Arabidopsis thaliana: one gene and its partners. The protein of the gene in region 1 interacts with the protein of each later gene in a pairwise test. Each region holds a gene or a part of one and is shown in the gene's direction. Other genes may lie near its edges.

Region 1 (3,324 bases):
GGACTCCTGAAAGTGATGTGAATTCAGCCGCCTTACACAAAAAAGTCAAACATTTTGGTGTTTTGAATACACACGCTTCACACTTGGTCACAAGCTTATCTTTTATAATTGCTTGCTTTTCCTTGGAAACATCCTTTCCTTCTATCCAACTCGTAATTTAATATAGGAAGAAGAAGAAGAAGAAGAGTACCTCATACGTAAACCATTGATGGGCTCTTTTGATCGCCAAAGAGCTGTTCCGAAATTCAAAACAGCAACACCGTCACCGCTCCCTCTTTCTCCTTCGCCTTACTTCACTATGCCTCCTGGCCTTACTCCCGCCGACTTTCTCGACTCTCCTCTTCTCTTCACTTCCTCCAACGTATCTATCTATCTCCTCCAACGTTTCAAACTATGATTGTTTGTCCTTATCTTGGAATATTGAAAGAATTCAAGGTTCTTGATTTGTCCATTTCCCTTCTTCTTCTCTCATATCATCTTCTTCTTTGATCTTGAAATCACAGATTTTGCCGTCTCCTACGACAGGCACATTTCCAGCGCAATCTCTGAACTATAACAATAACGGTTTGCTCATTGACAAAAATGAAATCAAATATGAAGACACAACTCCTCCCTTGTTCCTACCATCTGTAGGATCCATTTTTGCATTTTTAGCTTCTGCTTTATTATCTCTTAAGACATTCTAGTTTTAAACTATCTCATTTTCAGATGGTAACTCAGCCTTTACCTCAACTGGATTTATTCAAATCCGAAATCATGTCGAGTAACAAAACCTCTGATGACGGCTACAATTGGCGCAAATACGGGCAGAAGCAAGTCAAAGGAAGCGAAAACCCGAGGAGTTACTTCAAATGCACGTATCCAAATTGTCTCACAAAGAAGAAAGTAGAGACGTCTCTTGTGAAGGGTCAGATGATTGAGATTGTCTATAAAGGAAGCCACAATCATCCCAAGCCCCAATCCACGAAGCGATCATCTTCCACCGCTATAGCAGCACATCAGAACAGCAGTAATGGAGACGGTAAAGACATTGGTGAAGATGAAACAGAGGCCAAGAGATGGTAATTAGCAGACTCATAATTAAGTAACTGAAACCAAAAGGATGAGGAGACAATGAGATGTCTGATTGGATTTGTTGTGAATGGCTTATAAATGCAGGAAAAGAGAAGAGAATGTGAAGGAGCCAAGAGTGGTGGTTCAGACAACAAGTGATATAGACATTCTTGACGATGGCTACAGATGGAGAAAGTATGGTCAGAAAGTCGTCAAGGGTAATCCAAATCCAAGGTGTGGTTTTATTTTTCTCTTGTCAATTCTGAATGAAAAGGAGGCTTGAAGCTTGAGCTATAAGTTAGTTAAATTTGTGATGTGCAGGAGCTATTACAAGTGCACATTTACAGGATGTTTTGTAAGGAAACACGTTGAAAGAGCATTTCAAGATCCCAAGTCAGTGATCACAACTTACGAAGGAAAACACAAACACCAAATCCCGACCCCAAGAAGAGGTCCAGTTTTAAGGTTACTTGGAAAAACAGAGACATAAAGAGCAAATGAGTTTTGGCATTTCAGCATTCCTATTGTAATCTTTCATTCATATATAGTATGTTTCCTTAATCATGCGCCTATACACACATAACTGATCAGGACTAGGCAGAGGCTAAAGTTCCAAGCTTCTCCATCATTTTGCCCCCTATGTTCACTACCGACGATAAATCTTTATTCAACTGTTTCAAGATATTAAATCAAACATACATCACACCAAGTGTTTGACATGATGATGATGGAATGGAATGGATGGTGGCAAATGATGTGATAAACACACAAAGGCATACACATAAATGTATATTACTACAAAGAGCGGAATATTTTTATGTTTCTTTAAAAAGAAAGAAAGACGCAAAAGCACATGTGATAGTAGCCGACAGTTTGAAGTAAAGCCAGCAAATCGTGAAAGCCATTTACTTTTAGATCTCTCTCTGCACTCTCTGACTTTGTCCGCAAAGTAGATCTGCTGCAATGGCTTCTCCTCTTCTCCCAACTTCGACTACTCCTGATCAACTTCCCGGCGGCGATCCACAGTTGCTGAGCTCTCTACGCGTCCTCTTGTCCCGCGTTCTAGCCACCGTCCGTCACGCTTCTGCAGATGCCAGACCCTGGGCAGAGCTCGTTGACCGGTCAGCGTTTTCCCGGCCACCATCGCTCTCGGAGGCAACGTCACGAGTAAGGAAGAACTTTTCCTATTTCCGAGCCAATTACATAACCTTAGTGGCAATCTTACTCGCCGCGTCTCTGCTCACGCACCCTTTCGCTCTCTTCCTCCTCGCATCGCTGGCCGCTTCTTGGCTTTTCCTCTACTTTTTCCGTCCGGCGGATCAGCCGTTGGTCATTGGAGGACGCACGTTCTCCGATCTTGAGACGCTAGGGATACTCTGCCTGTCCACTGTGGTGGTGATGTTCATGACCAGCGTTGGATCGCTCTTGATGTCCACTCTAGCAGTTGGGATCATGGGCGTGGCCATCCACGGAGCGTTTCGTGCTCCCGAAGACCTGTTTCTTGAAGAACAAGAAGCCATTGGATCTGGACTTTTCGCATTCTTCAACAACAATGCCTCTAATGCAGCTGCCGCTGCCATAGCCACCTCAGCAATGTCACGCGTTCGAGTCTGAGATTGTTGAAGAGACTACATTCCTACACCGCATTTCCAAAGTGTGATATTTATTCATATTGAATTGTTGTAACTTGTAACCATTCTTTTGTCATTTCTGTTTTGTTTACTTTGTTGCTGGAATTTTGAAACACAATTCATCTTACTATACACCATTAAAACGAGAGTCAGTAAAGAAGAATTTTACTAACTCTCTCTTGTTTTTTGACACCAAAGTAAAAAAGATACGACAAATTGGTTTAAGCTCAAAACCATGAATCGAAGAATAAGAATAAATTACACTGTGCTCTCATGTTAAGAGCTCTCTCTATCGTATTGCCTTGTTTCCTCAGCAACCTTTGTCCACACATTGGCGATCTTCTCTGCATATCCAACCTGCACATTCAAATACCAACAACTCTGTTTTCACACCTTTTTACATATTTTCATCTCTTTATTTCAAACATCTCACTCAGATTTCTCAGCATTCACTAGCATTGCAAGAGAGCAGATTTCACCAATTTTCAAGCATCCATTCAAATATCTCAAATCATATTCCTTTTGGTGAATCCATTTCATGAAAGAAAGTCCCCAAATCATAGCATCCCCTATAACACTCACTGACTTTTCTCTTCCATTTCAGAGCTAAAAGATCTTGCTTTACACTCTCTCGTTAATT
Region 2 (6,857 bases), on another chromosome or scaffold:
CTTTTCCAAACGTCTCAATCACTATATTGTAAGTGACAGTCGTCAGGGAGAAGAACCTTTTCTCCATAAAATCCATAACAGAGCACATCTTCTTATACATACCAGCTTTTCCAAATGACAGGATCAGTATGTTAAATGTAGTGATATCCGGTTGCACCCCCATCAGCTGGAACCGACTATACCAGCTCTCCATCTTCCTCATGTTGCGACCATTTCCATATGACCCAATGATCGAGTTAAGCGTACAAACATCCGGAAGAGAATCTCCGTCCTCGATCATATCAGCCAGAACACTTTCCATTTCCTCAAACATTCCAGCCTTTCCATACCCATCAATAATAGTATTGTAAGTAACCGTGCTGCATCCAACTCCAAGATACGACATCTCAAGAACGATACTTTTAACCAGATCAAACCGACCCAGTTTGCAGCAACAACTGATGAGAACAGTAAAGGTGAACACATCTGGCTTGCAGTCACTAACAGATTTCATATACTCAAGTGTAGAAAACGCCTTGTCTAGAAGCTCGCTTTTGCCATAAACAGAGATAAGAGAGGTATACACATCAATGGTTGGTTTCAATCCTTCAGATAACATAACTTCGAAAAGCAAGCTGGCTTGATCAGGCTGTTTACAATTCCCAAGCACTTTAAACAGCTTTGTATAAGTTTTGCATCTTGGTTCATACCAATGCTGCTTCCTAAGAAGATTGAAAATCTATAAAGTAGAGAAACAGGAAAGTGAATTCTATCGAATCTATGTCCAAGTATCTGTAAGAATGAAGAAGGATTAAAGAGCTGTACCTTGAGAGCAGACTGCCATCGATTCTCTTTGATAGCTTCGTCAAGAGCTTCTAGAACAGCTTTTGGCCATAAAGTTAAGTACTTTTCGGAATTGGCTTTCCTCTCAATGCCCTTCACAGCAGCATCTGTTCTCAGAATCCGAGACAATTCTTTCTTAGGATCTACTTGGTGTCTTGTTGAGATCAAACCAGAATTCATTTTCTCTGTACGTTCGTTGGGGACCTTTGTCGAACACATTGTGGGCGTTATTGAAATAGTTGGTATACACCGAAAATAAACAGGGGAAGATATATGTTGCTGAACCACGCTTCTGCAAGAATGAGAAACAGAGAAAGATAGATTTAATATAAACACAACTGAAGAATTAAAGAAACGTAAAATTCAAAACAGTATGATTGTATGAAATATGAGAATGTTACCGAGAAAAACCAAGTTGTGCGATCTCATTGGCGTACGCGGAAGTAGTTCCTTGAACAGGATTTTGTATCAATGCCATCGAAGAAAAATGGTAGAAAGATAAGGTGGAGAAAAAGAAACTGCAAATTTTCTGGGTAGAAAGCAGAGCTAGAAGACGACGACGATACCGTTGTTTTTCCTTCGTTTTTTTCTTCTTCTCCGGTTTGGTGTAGCTTCTCTTCGGTTTGTAAAATATAATGAAATGGTTTTAGTTTTGATTTGGATGCCGGTTTAATTTGGATTTACAAAATTAAAAATTTAGCATTAATCAGTTTTTTCTTGTCCGGTTTAAAGGATTGGATTGATGAAGGAAGAACCAAATGGAGCTTTTTCCAATTTAATTTTGAATTCGAATTTGTTAAAACGAGATTGTCCTTGGCAAGGAACCGGAATTTGGAAAATGAAAAACCAAGAACACAGTTGAAAGTTATCCACACTAGTTAGGACACGTGGAGGCTAATGTATTTCACGTGGACACGTGCTCATCACTCTCCTCTAAACGCCGTCGTGAAGTTTAAAGGTCAGAGACATCGGCCACCGACCAAATCAGACAAGGAAAAGTCAACGATTTGATTGGATCTTCTTCACTTATGCTTTAAAACCGTTCCTGTAATAAACTGTGAAGATTGTAAGAAGATTAACACGAATCAAGAACATCGAACTGTTGACTTTAGACAGAGAGAGACGGAGATGGAGTTTAGTGAGTTAAAGGAAGCAATAGAGAAGATAGAGCTCGTTGATGCTCACGCACACAACATTGTCTCTCTTGACTCATCTTTTCCGTTCATCGGAACTTTCTCCGAGGCTGCCGGCGACGCTTTAACCTTCGCTCCTCATTCTCTCTCCTTCAAGGTACACGACGATACCAAGTGTTTTTGCTCTAGTTAGTTTTCGTTTGAATCAGATTCTAATTAATGAAAACGTTAGCTTAAAGTTTCCTAATTAGTCTCAAAAGTATTAGTTAACTAAAGTTTCGAGTGTTACTCAAAAGATGTTGACTTGTTTAGGAATCTCGTGAAGTTGGTATGAATGTTTTTGGTTGTATGAATGAAACAGAGGAACTTGAGGGAGATTGCTCAACTTTATGGCACTGAAGTATCTTTAGAAGCGGTTGAGGAACATCGTAAAACCTCGGGTTTGGATTCTTTTACTTCCAAGTGTTTTAAAGAAGCTCGAATCTCTGCTCTCCTCATTGATGATGGATTAAAGCTAGACAAGAAACATGATATTGAATGGCATAGAAACTTTGTTCCATTCGTTGGTAGAGTGTTGCGTATCGAAACTCTTGCCGAGCAAATCCTCGAAGAGGAGTGTCCTGGTGGTTATTTCTATGGTTCTGAGAGTACTGAACCGCCTGTTTGGGATTTAGATTCTTTCACCAAAACCTTTGTTGAAAGATTAAATTCATATCCTTTTATCTTTGCTTTTTTAATACACGCTTAATGATTGTGACTATACTCACTAGTATTGGTTAACCTTGACTACTTCGGTCACGCTTGTTCCAGAGATTGTTGCTTTGAAAACTATTGCTGCATATCGTAGCGGTTTGGATATTGATACTTATGTGAGTAAAGAAGTTGCTGAGAATGGCCTTGTTGAAGTCTTGCGAGGTAAGATGGTTGTGCTTGGTCTATCAAGAAGTAACATAGTTGTTGTCTGATCACCTTAAAATCTAATATTGCTGCAGCTGGAAAGCCTGTCCGCATAGGAAACAAGGGCTTGATTGACTACATCCTTACCATTAGTTTGGAGGTCGCTGTGCGTCGCGACTTGCCCTTGCAGATTCACACCGGGTATGCAAGATTTGATCAACTATATGATTGATGTTAGTAAAGTCTGATCTTTTTATCAAACAAACCTTACACAGAAACAGAAACTCATGCTCAGAGGTTTGTAGTAATGAAAATTCTCCTTTTCTTTTGTTGTTTGAGCCAGTTTTGGTGACAAGGATTTGGATTTGAGGTTGTCGAATCCTCTTCACCTTAGAACCCTTCTTGAAGACAAAAGATTTGGAAAGTGTCGTATAGTTCTTCTTCATGCAGCTTATCCATTCTCAAAGGAAGCATCCTTTCTGTCTTCAGTTTATCCTCAGGTTTTTCGTCATCCCATTTCAATTATCTGTAAAATCATGCCTAGTCATTAACTTATTTTCTTGTTCCTTAAGGTTTACCTTGATTTCGGCTTGGCGGTTCCAAAGCTTAGTGTCCATGGTATGGTTTCTTCAGTTAAAGAGCTCCTTGACTTAGCATCAATAAAGAAGGTAAAATTTATTTTACTTGCATTATCTTTGTTATTGTTCATGAGTAACCATAAGATATTATTGCAGGTTATGTTCAGCACTGATGGGTATGCATCTCCTGAGACCTACTATTTAGGTTAGCTCAAGTTTCTACCTCTTTTCTATAGTTTGTAACATACTTATATATGTTCCAATCCTGTTTCTAAGCTTTGGCACTTGAAATCGTCTTGCTTCAGTCTTGAACATAGCTCGCTGTTTTTTGCAGGTGCAAAGAAAGCACGTGAGGTTATCTTCTTAGTTCTGAGTGATGCTTGTGCCAGTGGTGATCTCTCACTCATGGAAGCTATTGATGCAGCTAAAGACATATTCTCACGAAATTCTATTGGATTTTATAAGCTTAATATAGACACAGATTCTTCTAGTCCACAAAATATAATATCTCCCAAATTGAAGATAAAGGAGCCTGATGTTCAAGAAGATAGTAGTTCTTTTGTACGCATTATTTGGGTTGATACATCTGGACAACAAAGATGCCGTGTGAGTTTTTTTTTTTTGGTTTCTTCTAAAGAAAAAACCTCTGTTTCCCACCTCAACGATTTTTCCTTAGAAGCACAAAAACTTAACTAGAATTCTGTTTATTGTATTGTTTCAGGCTGTTCAAGCGCAGCGTTTTAACAGAAGTGTGAAGAAGAACGGCGTTGGTCTGACCTTTGCATCAATGGGGATGACTTCATTTACTGATGGACCAGCAGAAGAGTCTAAATTGACAGGTGTGGGTGAGATTAGACTTGTTCCAGATCTATCAACCAAGCAGACAATACCTTGGTACTTTACTCGTGTTCATTCTCTTTGGAGTTAATTTTACAGATGTTTCTTTCTTAATTGTTTCCGTATCATATTTTATCATTAGGACGAAGCAAGAGAGCATGGTTTTAGCTGATATGCAATTGAAGCCTGGTGAAGCATGGGGGTACTGTCCACGAGAGACCTTAAGAAGGGTCGCAAAAGTTCTCAAAGATGAATTTGACTTGGTAAGAAATCTCCATATAGCCATTCTACGAAAACTTTTATTTGCTTTTTGGTTGCTTAAGCTCAAATCTTCCTTGGCTTTTAGGTAATGAACGCTGGTTTTGAGAATGAGTTTTATCTCCTCAAGAACGTTGTGCGGTATGCGACTATATATTTCTTGAATACCGGTTTCTTTGTTCAATCCAATCATTTTCACAATCTTAACACTTGTTCTGTCCATTTTTTAAAAGGGAAGGGAAAGAAGAGTATATGCCTTTTGACTTTGGTCCTTACTGTGCCACATCCTCATTCGATGCTGCATCTCCGATCTTCCATGATATTGTACCCGCACTCGAGTCCTTGAACATCGAAGTTGAACAGGTTACAAATAATTCAAAAATCCCTCATAATGATCAGTCTGCAACATGCTTCTTGACATGTATGAAATTTTTTCATAGTTTCATGCTGAATCCGGGAAAGGTCAGTTTGAAGTATCTCTCGGTCACACCATTGCATCCCATGCTGCCGACAACTTGGTCTACACACGTGAAGTTATAAGATCGGTTGCAAGGAAACAGGGATTGCTCGCAACCTTTGTTCCAAAGTATGTCAGTCTCTCCCACCAAATTATTCGTTGTAACTGCAAATTTTTAACATATGTGTTTTTTCTTCAGGTATGATTATTGTGACATTGGTTCTGGATCACATGTGCATCTAAGTCTTTGGAAAAACGGCGAAAATGTCTTCCCGGCATCTAATAACTCATCTTCTCATGGAATCTCTTCCGTTGGAGAAGAGTTCATGGCCGGAGTTCTATTTCATCTTCCATCAATCTTAGCTATTATAGCTCCACTCCCAAACAGGTAACTCGAAAACCGTACTTTTCGAGTAATTTCCTCAATTGTTATTAAAAGTTGTGTGTGTCACTTAAATTTCCAGCTACGACCGAATCCAACCTAATACATGGAGTGGAGCATTCCAATGTTGGGGCAAAGAAAACCGCGAAGCAGCGTTAAGAGCAGCTTCTCCACCAGGAACTCCTGATGGTTTAGTTACTAACTTTGAGATAAAGTCTTTTGATGGCTCTGCAAATCCTCACCTTGGTTTGGCTGTTATAATGGCTGCTGGTATTGATGGTCTCCGGCGACATCTTCAACTTCCTACTCCAATAGGTAACTAAAAACTTATGTTATTCATTCTCATGTATATGTAGTGTTAATATGAAGCTTGATCTTGAGTTGTTCGGATGGAACAGATATAAATCCGGCGGATGTGGCTGCTACATTGAACAGACTTCCGGAAACGCTCTCAGAAGCTGTTGAAGCTCTGGACAAAGACAAAGTTCTCCACGATTTGCTCGGACAAAAGCTTTTAGTTGCCATAAAAGGAGTCCGTAAGGTAACACTATAGTCTTTTAGTTTCCCATTAGATTCTCAGTGGTAACAAAGTACATTAGCACTAATCTATTGTTTTTGTCTTTTTAAATTTTTTTGTGTAACAGGCTGAGGTCGAGTATTATTCGAAGAATCCGGATGCATATAAGCAACTCATTCACCGATACTAATCCTTTGAGCATCTCTATGATGATTGTTGGATCATTTGGTTTTATTGTGGACTTTGTGTCACATGAAGGGTCGTATTTGCAAAATACTTGACATAAAGATGTGGTTCAGAAAATTAATAAACTAAATTTCATATTTCGAGACGCATGCTCATGCTGGAGTACTATTTGTATTTCTTACTTTTTCGTCCCATGCTTTCAAAAGCCTCAAGAATATACAGAGTATTTTCAATAATACGGAGTAGTTCTTAATCATTTACATTTGTCTATGAATTGAATTTGACTACTAATACTCGGAAACAAAAAAATGATTGTAGTATTAGGAGCGCAAATACCCTTTAACCATTGTTCTTTCCATGTTCTTAGTCCGGCTATTGTTATCTAGGTAGGTGCCTGATCCCTTTTTTTCAAATCTTTCTTATTCATTACTTTGACTAATTAACCTATTTAATCATATTTAATCTCCCTTTAATCTGCAAACTAAAGCACATGTTTTTTTTTATGAAAGAAAAGGTTAGTATGACATTCTTTTGGTAAATCTCATCATATTATTTATTTAATTTTAAGAAATTGGAGTTTAAAGTGTAATTAAGTTATGCTACCTAGCTAATTTCCTTAAAATATGAACGATAAGTATAGAAATTAAAGTAAAGATTAGGTTTATACGGTACGCTTATTATGCTCAAACAAGTGGACGAACAAAATCCATCTCCATGTGACTATGGAAGAGAACTTATTAATAAGTCCAAATTTTTTTCTTGCAAACTTTATGATTTCATTCACACTAGA
Region 3 (4,849 bases), on another chromosome or scaffold:
ATTTATGAAATCAAAATCATCTTTCTTGACTTATCGTTATATGTGGCATTTACTCATTTTAGTCTCGTGCTCTTCTTGTTTGTTTTCTTAAAACATTTTAATATGTTTTTCATTTACAATGTTCATCAAAATACAAACAAATCTCTGAGGGAACTGTGAAAATTCGAAAAAGATTTTAGAAATACTGACAAAATAAGTTAAAATTCTAAGAAACAAAATTTAATAGTTTTCCTTCCAACAAGGTTTCTATGCTACATAGGTATAATTTTAGGTATTCTTCGTTAATAAATTTGAAGGAAATAACTAATAACGCACAAAAACCCTAAATCAAAAACCTAAGAAGACGTTTACCAGAAACAAAAAAACTAAGAAGACAATGACGACGAAAGAGAAGAATAAATCATCAAACTCACCGCCTCCGACGTCGTTTTCTTCGTTACCGGACGACATCGTTCTCAACTGTTTGGCTCGTGTCTCCAGATTCCATTATCCAACTCTATCCCTAGTCTGCAAGGGTTTCCGATCACTCCTAGACTCCCGTGAGCTCCACGCAACACGATCTTGCATCGGAAAAACCGAGAGTTTCCTCTACGTCTGCTTAGACCTGCATAGGAATTGCTATCCAGACTGTCCTCCACGATGGTTTATAGTTTCCCCGATTACCAAACAGAAACTGAAACCTATCCCTTCGGTTACTTGTCAATCCTCAACCGTTGTATCAATCGGTTCAAAGATTTACATAATCGGAGGCTTCGTTGATGGACATAGTAGCAGGAGATTGATAGTACTCGATTGTCCATCTCATGGATGGCGTAGACTCCCCGAGATGCGTGTACCTCGACAAAACGCAGCAGCTGATGTAATCAACGATAAGATCTACGTGATTGGAGGCTCTAGTTCCAACAATATCGAGGATTGGGGAGAGGTTTATGACCCAAAGACCCAAACTTGGGAGCCAGTATTGCCCACAACACTAGATCTTACTGTTCAAATGAGTGTGGTTCCAGGTAGCTTGGTAATGAGTGGGAAAGTTTATGACATGAATGGATTGAAGCTTAACTTTCAGAAGAATATTTGCTTGGTGGAGATAGAGAACATGATGTGCCAAACAAAGGTTTGTGAAGGGGTGTTAGTTTGGTGTGAACCAGAGGAAGATCGTGGGTGGTGTCCGGTTGATGGACTTGAAGGACTTCCCAATAGGCCAACTTCTCCTGGTTATCTTACCTCGGTGGCACATTCCGACCGAGGAAGAAGAGTAACAGTTTGGTGGGAGTCGGCTGTGTTACATCGTCTAGGTCCCAAATGGACTAAGGAATGTAAAACAGAGATTTGGTGTGCAGAGATTTCGTTTGAGAGACGCGGTGTTGGAAAGGTTTGTGGATTTGTTGAATGGTCTAAGAATGTCTTTACTAAGGATGACTACAAAACTTATAAGTTACCTGCTTCTCTTTCTGATTTCTTCTTGAATTCTACCATTGTGACATATTGATCAATGGAAGTTTATGTTAATTTTTGAGAGAGTTTTAAATTCTTTTGTGGGGATTTTGTTTAGAACATCTTGAGTATAGATTTTATGATAATGAACGAAAATACTGGTGGTGTTTATGTATCTCTAATAAATATGCAGTTGCGTAAGAACATAAACATCAACACACTTCTTATGAAAGAGTTATATATTGTTGAAAAGTATAGTTGTATAGTAGTAGTATATATTTCCAAAGATGACTTCAGATTACATTAGTATACAGTAGTAGTATTTGATACCAAATATAAAAATAAAAATTACTATAGCATTGTTTTAGTCCAGCTAATTGATTTTAAAGTAATTAATAAAAGGCCCATAAGGCTTCGTGCCTTCTTCTTTCTATATAGGCCCTTCAAAAAAGAATCCTTCTCTCTTTTTCTGCGCACTCCTTCGTTTCCAACTAACGTGCGCAGTGTATCCTATCGTGCACGCGAAGCAGACGAAGAAGAAGTAAAATAGAAGAAGCCGGGAAACAAAAGCTAAATCGGGAACTGGCGCATTTTAGTCGTCCGCCATAACCTTCGCTCTCTGATTCTTCCGATTACATCGGTTTTCTTCTCTCTCCGGTACATGATCTTCTTCTTTCCCGCAGCCGATTCATTCGATTTCTCCCTCTTTTGTTTGATCTAATTCGATTTCGATGAAACTCAGATTTTGATCTTTGAGTTTTTGTTTCCTTTAGATTCAATGGCTGCTCCACCTGCTAGAGCCAGAGCTGATTACGATTATCTCATTAAGCTTCTTTTGATTGGAGATAGCGGTACGTTGATCTGAAACCTCTCCGATGTTTTTATCGTCGATCCGTTGAAATTTGTTGAATCTGTTTGATTTCCATTGAATCGATCTATTCCACTGTGATTTTTGTTTGTGATTAGATCGTTGTGTGGATCGGTGTTTGTATTGAGAGATCTCTGTAACCTAAGGTTTTTTTTTTTTGTTGCAGGTGTTGGTAAAAGTTGTCTTCTTCTACGTTTCTCTGATGGATCTTTCACCACTAGCTTCATTACCACCATTGGGTTTGTGTTTTCTCTTTGCTTATGGAGATAAATTGAATTCTGTGATGTTTGTTTTGGATTCTGTTTTTACAGAGTCTTGTTTCTCTATTTTGCTTTGATGTAGCATTGACTTTAAGATAAGAACGATTGAGCTTGACGGTAAACGTATCAAGCTTCAGATTTGGGATACCGCTGGTCAAGAGCGGTTTCGGACTATCACCACTGGTGAGTTCATCTTTTTCATAAGAATTGCTTGCTGGATTAGTACTTAGAGCATTCACAACATCAGTAATGAATCAGATTAGATAGATTCTCGAGGAGATGAACACTTACATGTGCTATGATCTCTTGTACAATGCCACTTGACTGATTTATTTTGTTTGGCTGATTACTTTACTTGGTCTTGTATAGTTGATGTTTATGGGCTATTTTCGACACTTCATAGTTCATCTTTTCGTATAAATGTACTCACTGATCACTTTGCTTAGCATTCACCATCACAATAGAAGTCAAGTTAGAAAGATTGTCAAGATGAGATTGATGACAAACGCCTATAAGTAGTCTAAGATAGCCACTTATAGTTCTAGGTAAAGGGGATGCATTTGTGCAATGCCAATTTACTGATTTGCTCTTTTTGGCTGGTTACTTTTGTAGGTACTGTCTAGTTGATATTATTAGGATATTTAGGCAGTTTATACTGATCTGTTTCTGTTGTTTCAACACCATTTTGACGATTCTTTTTCTCTCGCATTTTCGCAGCTTATTACCGTGGGGCAATGGGCATTTTGCTGGTGTATGATGTCACAGACGAGTCATCCTTCAACAGTAAAACTCCCACCATCAAGTCTTTCACTTACTGGTTTCTATAAATCTCCTTAACCAAAATGAACATCTCTTTTACTAACACGATTCTTGACGTTATTGCAGACATTAGGAACTGGATTCGTAATATCGAACAGCATGCTTCGGATAATGTTAACAAGATCTTGGTAGGGAACAAGGCTGACATGGATGAAAGCAAGAGGGTATGAAGCACACCACCTTTATCCCTGTTCCTTATTCACGACTGATCCTAATAATAATAGCTTCTTGGTCCTGTCAAAATTTTCAGGCAGTACCTACAGCAAAGGGTCAGGCTCTTGCTGATGAGTACGGAATTAAGTTCTTCGAAACAGTAAGTCTAACAATGCTCTCAATCTTCGAAACTAGATGGGTAGTGTTTACATTGCTTACACATCTAGCTATATATGTGTTGTTGTTGCAGAGTGCCAAGACAAACCTAAACGTGGAAGAAGTTTTCTTCTCAATAGGGAGGGACATTAAGCAGAGGCTTTCAGACACCGACTCGAGGGCAGAGGTTTGTTACATCTCTCTCTTTCACATCTTTGCGTTGTTAGGTCTGAAAACGCATTGATCATTCATGTTACGTGGTCAATTGCAGCCTGCAACGATCAAGATAAGCCAAACGGACCAAGCAGCTGGAGCAGGGCAGGCCACACAGAAATCTGCATGCTGTGGAACTTAAAAAAGTTTTAAAAGTGAAGTTTAAGTCGAAAAAAGTTTGGGGGTGAAGTGAAAAACTAAGATATCGTTGGGTGCTTATGTAATTTTTTGTTTTATGCCAACAATTCTGATTCGTTCTTCTAAATTGTCCTTCCTATTTGTACGAAGGTTTAATCGAAACTTGTATTTTTCTTTTCTATTACTGATTTTTTATGACGGTGACTGAATTGTTTATGTTGGTCATCACTTCTCTCTATATATCCTCTGTTCTTAATTTTTCTCTTGCTTCCTCTTTTATCAAGTCTTTAAACATTACTTCTAATACTCGTAAACTCATCTTTGACACAACCATAAGCAATACAAAACCATAATATGTACACTGCCTGATTTATGAGTCGTAAACGTATAATTGTGTTAGCAATCCAGTGATGAAGAAACTTATCATGTTTTAGTTGCACTACAGTTACTATAGCTGACACTTATATTGTAGTTTCAACACCAGTTAAACCATTCTCATAGTTCAACAACATTCTAGGGTTAATAAAACGTGAAACCAAAATTTAGCGAACAAGAAAATAAATCTTGAATAGTATATCAGATTGTATTCAGATCATGTATTCACATCGAATAGTAAGATAAATGGATCAACAAAGACTAAAACCATGTAAAAAGTACTACTCTATGTAAGATTATCAATAAAACTAAAACCCTAACGAACATGAAAAATCAGTACATCGTTCTTCCCAACTCCAATTCCGTGTTGACAAAGCTCTCCACCGAAGTTAAGTCGAAATCCAAACACGCCACTCTCTTCCCACTACTCGAT
Region 4 (4,760 bases), on another chromosome or scaffold:
CGGTTAATGTCATCGAGGATTACAATGAGAGAAACTATAAAAGCAAAGTCAACATTCGGATAGACAGTAACCGAAAAATTACTCTTCCCAATTAATATGCTTTGTGCCGTATGTTTCTTGTGCATCTGAAAAAAACAACAAAACAACAACAATGACTCAATTAACACGATCATATAACTAGCTAGTCCGGTTTATACAATTTACAGACAATTTGATCAGTGTAATTACCTGAGCAACAATGGCATCAGATTTGCCGGCGTAGACGACACAAGACCGGTCGATCCAACTTCCTTTAACATGGAAGTCGCAAATCTTCATTTCTTTATTATGAGCCAAAAAGATGTCTAGTTTTGGCTTCATTATTTGAATCATTGAAGATCGTTTCAATGTGTATAATAGATCACTTTGGTCTGTACTCTTCCCTCTATATACTAGCCACCTATCATGCAAGCTCACCTTCTACAATTTTTATGTTATAAGAAAAAAAAGTTGTGGATCAGATTTTATTGGATGATCTATGACGATTTAACATACTCGAATGAGTGATGATGATTTTGATATTATTTACAATTAGTTGATAGACGTATTGAAAAAGTGTACCTCCATGCAAGTTATAAGAGCATGTTTGTGTATATATGATTTGCATAATGAAATTTTTTTTTTGTATCACCATGAAAAAATTGTGCCTCTCCATGCAAGTTATAAAGAATTGTAGTTGATAGACGTATACTTACATTTTCTCTCAAAGTCAAGATTGGAGTATCGTATGCGTCCAATAAAATCCTTTTGTCGCTGATGCTAAACAAAGGTTCCTTGACTTTGAAAAGGAGATTGCCGTTAACGTCCGTGACGGCGAAGTTACCATCGGTTAAAGTCATCACCTTCCGTACGATTCCCAACTCGATAGGGTACGGTGCACAGAAATTAGGGCTAACGATCGCCATCTTTTTGAAGATCTCTCTCTGTTTTTTTTTTCTCTTTTACGATTCTTGTATAAGGTGGAGATTTGTGTTCGTTTCTCAATCTTTTTAGTTATTTATAATTAGGATATTCCAAGTATTGTGTGAAACAAATCTTCGTGTTTTTAATTTTGTGTTTTTGGCTATATATGTTTTGTTTATTTTTAGAACTTATCTTATTTTAAATCTGCTAGCCAAGTTGCAAGCTGCAAACACGTTAGCGTTACTACACTTTTTTTTTTTGGTTATATAAAAAAAAATAGTTTGATGGAAAAAAAATATTATAAATTGAGGAAATATCTTCTTTTTTGCCAGAAAAGGAAATTAGAAGAAACGTAAAATTAGAAGGTAACTTTTGGTAGGATTAATATGACTTAATTAAAAATGATATGAATGGAGTATGAAAAAGAGAATGATTTTGTTGATAAAATATACTGTCATATAAAATTGGAAAATCCATGCATATTCAATCAAAGTTTTTCTTTTCTTTTTCAATATACCTTTTTAATCCGCTTTAAATACTTCATTATATTTAATTCCTCACATCTTGATCACGGATTATAAATCAAATTTATGTAAAATTATCTTCTCTAAAAAAATAAAAATAAAAATTGAGACATATACATGAGTAATAAAATCCAAACCTTTAATAACAGGGCCAGGACGTTAACGACGGTTAAGTTAGATAGACAAGATTTTGAGCTCGGCCCATTTATCAAAAAGCCCAAATAAGAAGACACACACACGTAAAGAAATCAGTGAGACAAGGTCAAAGCTTCTTTATTGTCTCGGGAAAAACAACAAGGAATTAAACAAATATTAAAAAAACTGGGAACAAAAAAATCCAGTAGAAGTCGTGGGGTTCAATGTTCATGTAAATTGATTGACACGCCCCCTAAACCCAAACCTCTCTTTTTTTTTGTTTCTTATATTATAGAGAAAAAGAGCTTTTTCCCGGAAAGTTGTTCTCATCTTGGAAAATCAAATCTCGGAAACGCAGTCTTCAGCTAAATCATGAGCAACGAGTAGTAAGTGTTTCTCTCCTCCTTGAGAGCCATTCTTTCGTTTTCGATTTTACTCACACCGATTTCGATTTTTTGTTGTTGTAGCGATTATCTGTTCAAGCTTTTGTTGATCGGTGACTCCTCTGTTGGAAAATCGTGTCTTCTTCTCCGATTCGCTGTGAGTTTGACTTGATTTTGATTCTTAATTGATTCCGTCGTCGAGAATTAGCTCGTGTTAGGTTTCTTCTTTTGTACTGTTTCGTGATTTTGGGATTTGTTGCTATTTCTAGGATGATGCTTACATTGACAGCTACATAAGCACCATTGGTGTTGACTTCGTAAGTTCATTCTTTGACCTTGTTTACATACATGATCGAGATTGTTTTATCCCAAACTTACTTATAATGTGGTTGGTTTTGCAGAAAATTAGGACGATTGAGCAGGATGGGAAGACGATTAAGCTGCAAATTGTGAGTTTTCAATTATATAATATGTTTTGGATGATTGTGTTTACTCAATTTTACTGTTGCTGCTCTCTTTTAGTGGGATACTGCTGGACAGGAGCGTTTCAGGACCATCACTAGCAGCTATTACAGAGGAGCTCATGGAATCATTGTGAGCAATCTTTATATTCGCTTTCTTACTTGCTTTTTTTTGGCTTACCTAGACTAGTGTTATGTCCCTATTTCCATTTCTCATTTTAAGTGGTTTAGTCTGAGATTGGTATTGTAATGTTGGAATATGAATCATTTTAATGTTGTAATCCACCCTTTAAGTGATGAACCTTAATGATGATAATTGCAACAGATTGTTTATGACTGTACTGAGATGGAAAGCTTCAACAATGTGAAGCAGTGGTTGAGTGAGATCGATAGATATGCCAATGAGAGTGTTTGCAAGCTTTTAATCGGTAACAAGAATGATATGGTTGAAAGCAAAGTTGTTTCCACCGAAACTGGAAGGGTAAGCTCACATCCCTAGTTAAGTTCCCAGCAATTTTTCCATTTATGATTTTGCTTCTATCTTATGCATAACATCCTTTGCATGGTACTTTCCCCTTTCCTCATTTGATCATTTCATGGTTTCGCATATCTTTAACCATGTGATGATATTACAACCATTGAGATTGTTATACCAGAATTTACGGCTATGAATGTAGATGATCTCTGACCAAATTCCCAAAGCTAGATGATCTGAATCCACCGAGTAGAAATTGCTTATTTTTGCAGCAGCTGTTACTCCTGATACAACTGTGAATTGGTTTTCTTACATTTCATCTACTCAAAATCACTGCAGGCCTTAGCAGATGAGCTTGGAATTCCCTTTCTTGAGACCAGTGCCAAGGATTCTATTAACGTTGAACAGGCATTCTTAACTATTGCTGGCGAGATAAAAAAGAAGTATGTTCACTATCTTTAATCTTTCGCCATAATTTTTTCTGCGAAGATTTAACATAGATTAGGTTTAGTAAACTTGTTCTATTACTATATTCCTTGATCACCATTATATACATCAAATCATTCTCTGTGTTTTTTTCTGCTGCAAAGCATCTTGATTCTCCACTGTTTTCATGAAATAAACTATTCATGTAAAGTTTCAAATCCGAAGTGTGCTATTCTAGACTTGATGACTAATGGAAAGCAAATCAACAAACTAACTGCTGTATCCTTGTAGCTTCCTCAAGCTTGTGTACTTAACTTCTGTTGATAGATTTTCCATATGGTTGATATCTTGTATCGACATTTGCTGATTCAGTCTAGTTTATGTAACATGGAGAATTGAGTCTAATCATATCGTAACTCATTTTCTTTGCAGAATGGGAAGCCAAACGAATGCAAACAAGACATCTGGTCCTGGAACTGTCCAAATGAAAGGTCAGCCAATCCAACAGAACAATGGCGGTTGCTGCGGTCAGTAGTTTAAAAAATGTTTTAATCAAAACTATCTGAGACTCTTTTTTTACTTCCTTTTTAACTAAGTGTTGTGAAAACCAATGGCTGTTTAAAACAACTAAGAAATGTAATATTCCATGTCGCTGTGTCTTGAATAAGCTATGGTGTTAGTTGCAAGATACTTCTCTTTAATATAGTTCAGTCTTGACTTTGACCACACAGGGATATGCAAGCAACTCATGGTTTTGAATTTTGATTGTGTATATATATTAAAAATAGTGATAGATATTCGTTGCTGTATAGGCTGGACCATGTTCATTACCATAGATATTTAAAACTTGCAGCTAAGTCCATAGAATGAGGAAAAGCAAAAACAACATATGAGAGATAAATCTCAATAATGTAAATGCTGAATTATATATACTTCAAAGATACGAGTCCAAATCAAATTCTTCCATTTTCTTACGCTAAAGTATACGGATTTCCAAAAGAAGATTTGTTCTATTTCGTTTACAACGCAATTCTAGTTTATAATAACTCATCATATACTCATGTGGTTTCAAAATACCCCAAATGCATGTTTTTCTAGAAACAATCAGTTTTCTGATTTTGATGAAATCAATCATACCTAGATTCATTCATTTACTCCCACAATTTTAGAAGAAAATCTCATTCCTGCACATCCTTATTTAAAAAATAAAATAAATCAAAAGTGATCTTATTTGTTTGTGTTTAAGTTTTATAAATTCATTTTTTTTTGTTTGAATGATAAAAAGACAGACAGGAAAGATCTCATGACAACGACAGTTAACCGACCTGGTCCCTCTAAAATAAAGTCTGACACAGACTCTCAAACTTTGTCAAATCCAATTCTTATTATTATTGGTAATGAGACTTTTTCTTCA

Evidence for each region.
Region 2: the proteins of PRA1.B6 (region 1) and NodGS interact in a two-hybrid assay, tested with the Arabidopsis thaliana proteins (one large-scale study listed by BioGRID).
Region 3: the proteins of PRA1.B6 (region 1) and RABE1c interact in a two-hybrid assay, tested with the Arabidopsis thaliana proteins (one large-scale study listed by BioGRID).
Region 4: the proteins of PRA1.B6 (region 1) and ATFP8 interact in a two-hybrid assay, tested with the Arabidopsis thaliana proteins (one large-scale study listed by BioGRID).

The regions. Positions count from the first base shown.
Region 1 is NC_003076.8:2,204,105-2,207,428, forward strand, and holds PRA1.B6 (prenylated RAB acceptor 1.B6), read left to right. Parts: upstream 1-1,895; 5' UTR 1,896-2,016; coding exon 2,017-2,667; 3' UTR 2,668-2,824; downstream 2,825-3,324. Other genes in the region: WRKY26 (WRKY DNA-binding protein 26), read left to right, coding at 209-361, 504-629, 709-1,061, 1,159-1,287, 1,375-1,543; SNX2b (sorting nexin 2B), read right to left, coding at 2,961-3,041. UniProt on the Arabidopsis thaliana protein: May be involved in both secretory and endocytic intracellular trafficking in the endosomal/prevacuolar compartments.
Region 2 is NC_003074.8:19,705,118-19,711,974, forward strand, and holds NodGS (nodulin/glutamine synthase-like protein), read left to right. Parts: upstream 1-1,702; 5' UTR 1,703-1,950; coding exon 1,951-2,112; intron 2,113-2,316; coding exon 2,317-2,666; intron 2,667-2,754; coding exon 2,755-2,870; intron 2,871-2,947; coding exon 2,948-3,053; intron 3,054-3,195; coding exon 3,196-3,352; intron 3,353-3,424; coding exon 3,425-3,520; intron 3,521-3,586; coding exon 3,587-3,635; intron 3,636-3,764; coding exon 3,765-4,036; intron 4,037-4,151; coding exon 4,152-4,324; intron 4,325-4,409; coding exon 4,410-4,530; intron 4,531-4,613; coding exon 4,614-4,666; intron 4,667-4,758; coding exon 4,759-4,888; intron 4,889-4,965; coding exon 4,966-5,111; intron 5,112-5,181; coding exon 5,182-5,370; intron 5,371-5,446; coding exon 5,447-5,679; intron 5,680-5,762; coding exon 5,763-5,905; intron 5,906-6,008; coding exon 6,009-6,071; 3' UTR 6,072-6,343; downstream 6,344-6,857. Other genes in the region: AT3G53170 (LOW protein: PPR containing protein), read right to left, coding at 1-718, 805-1,114, 1,224-1,300.
Region 3 is NC_003074.8:16,915,696-16,920,544, forward strand, and holds RABE1c (RAB GTPase homolog 8A), read left to right. Parts: upstream 1-1,831; 5' UTR 1,832-2,091; exon of another isoform or gene 2,092-2,207; 5' UTR 2,208-2,212; coding exon 2,213-2,285; intron 2,286-2,468; coding exon 2,469-2,541; intron 2,542-2,644; coding exon 2,645-2,745; intron 2,746-3,279; coding exon 3,280-3,345; intron 3,346-3,447; coding exon 3,448-3,545; intron 3,546-3,631; coding exon 3,632-3,694; intron 3,695-3,784; coding exon 3,785-3,877; intron 3,878-3,961; coding exon 3,962-4,045; 3' UTR 4,046-4,323; downstream 4,324-4,849. Other genes in the region: AT3G46050 (Galactose oxidase/kelch repeat superfamily protein), read left to right, coding at 377-1,489; AT3G46070 (C2H2-type zinc finger family protein), read right to left, coding at 4,750-4,849. UniProt on the Arabidopsis thaliana protein: Involved in membrane trafficking from the Golgi to the plasma membrane.
Region 4 is NC_003074.8:3,708,611-3,713,370, reverse strand, and holds ATFP8 (Ras-related small GTP-binding family protein), read left to right. Parts: upstream 1-1,753; 5' UTR 1,754-1,973; coding exon 1,974-1,987; intron 1,988-2,068; coding exon 2,069-2,141; intron 2,142-2,253; coding exon 2,254-2,301; intron 2,302-2,385; coding exon 2,386-2,433; intron 2,434-2,506; coding exon 2,507-2,578; intron 2,579-2,770; coding exon 2,771-2,926; intron 2,927-3,259; coding exon 3,260-3,363; intron 3,364-3,778; coding exon 3,779-3,881; 3' UTR 3,882-4,240; downstream 4,241-4,760. Other genes in the region: AT3G11740 (LURP-one-like protein (DUF567)), read right to left, coding at 1-125, 229-459, 735-944; AT3G11720 (Polyketide cyclase/dehydrase and lipid transport superfamily protein), read left to right, coding at 4,650-4,690. UniProt on the Arabidopsis thaliana protein: Protein transport. Regulator of membrane traffic from the Golgi apparatus towards the endoplasmic reticulum (ER).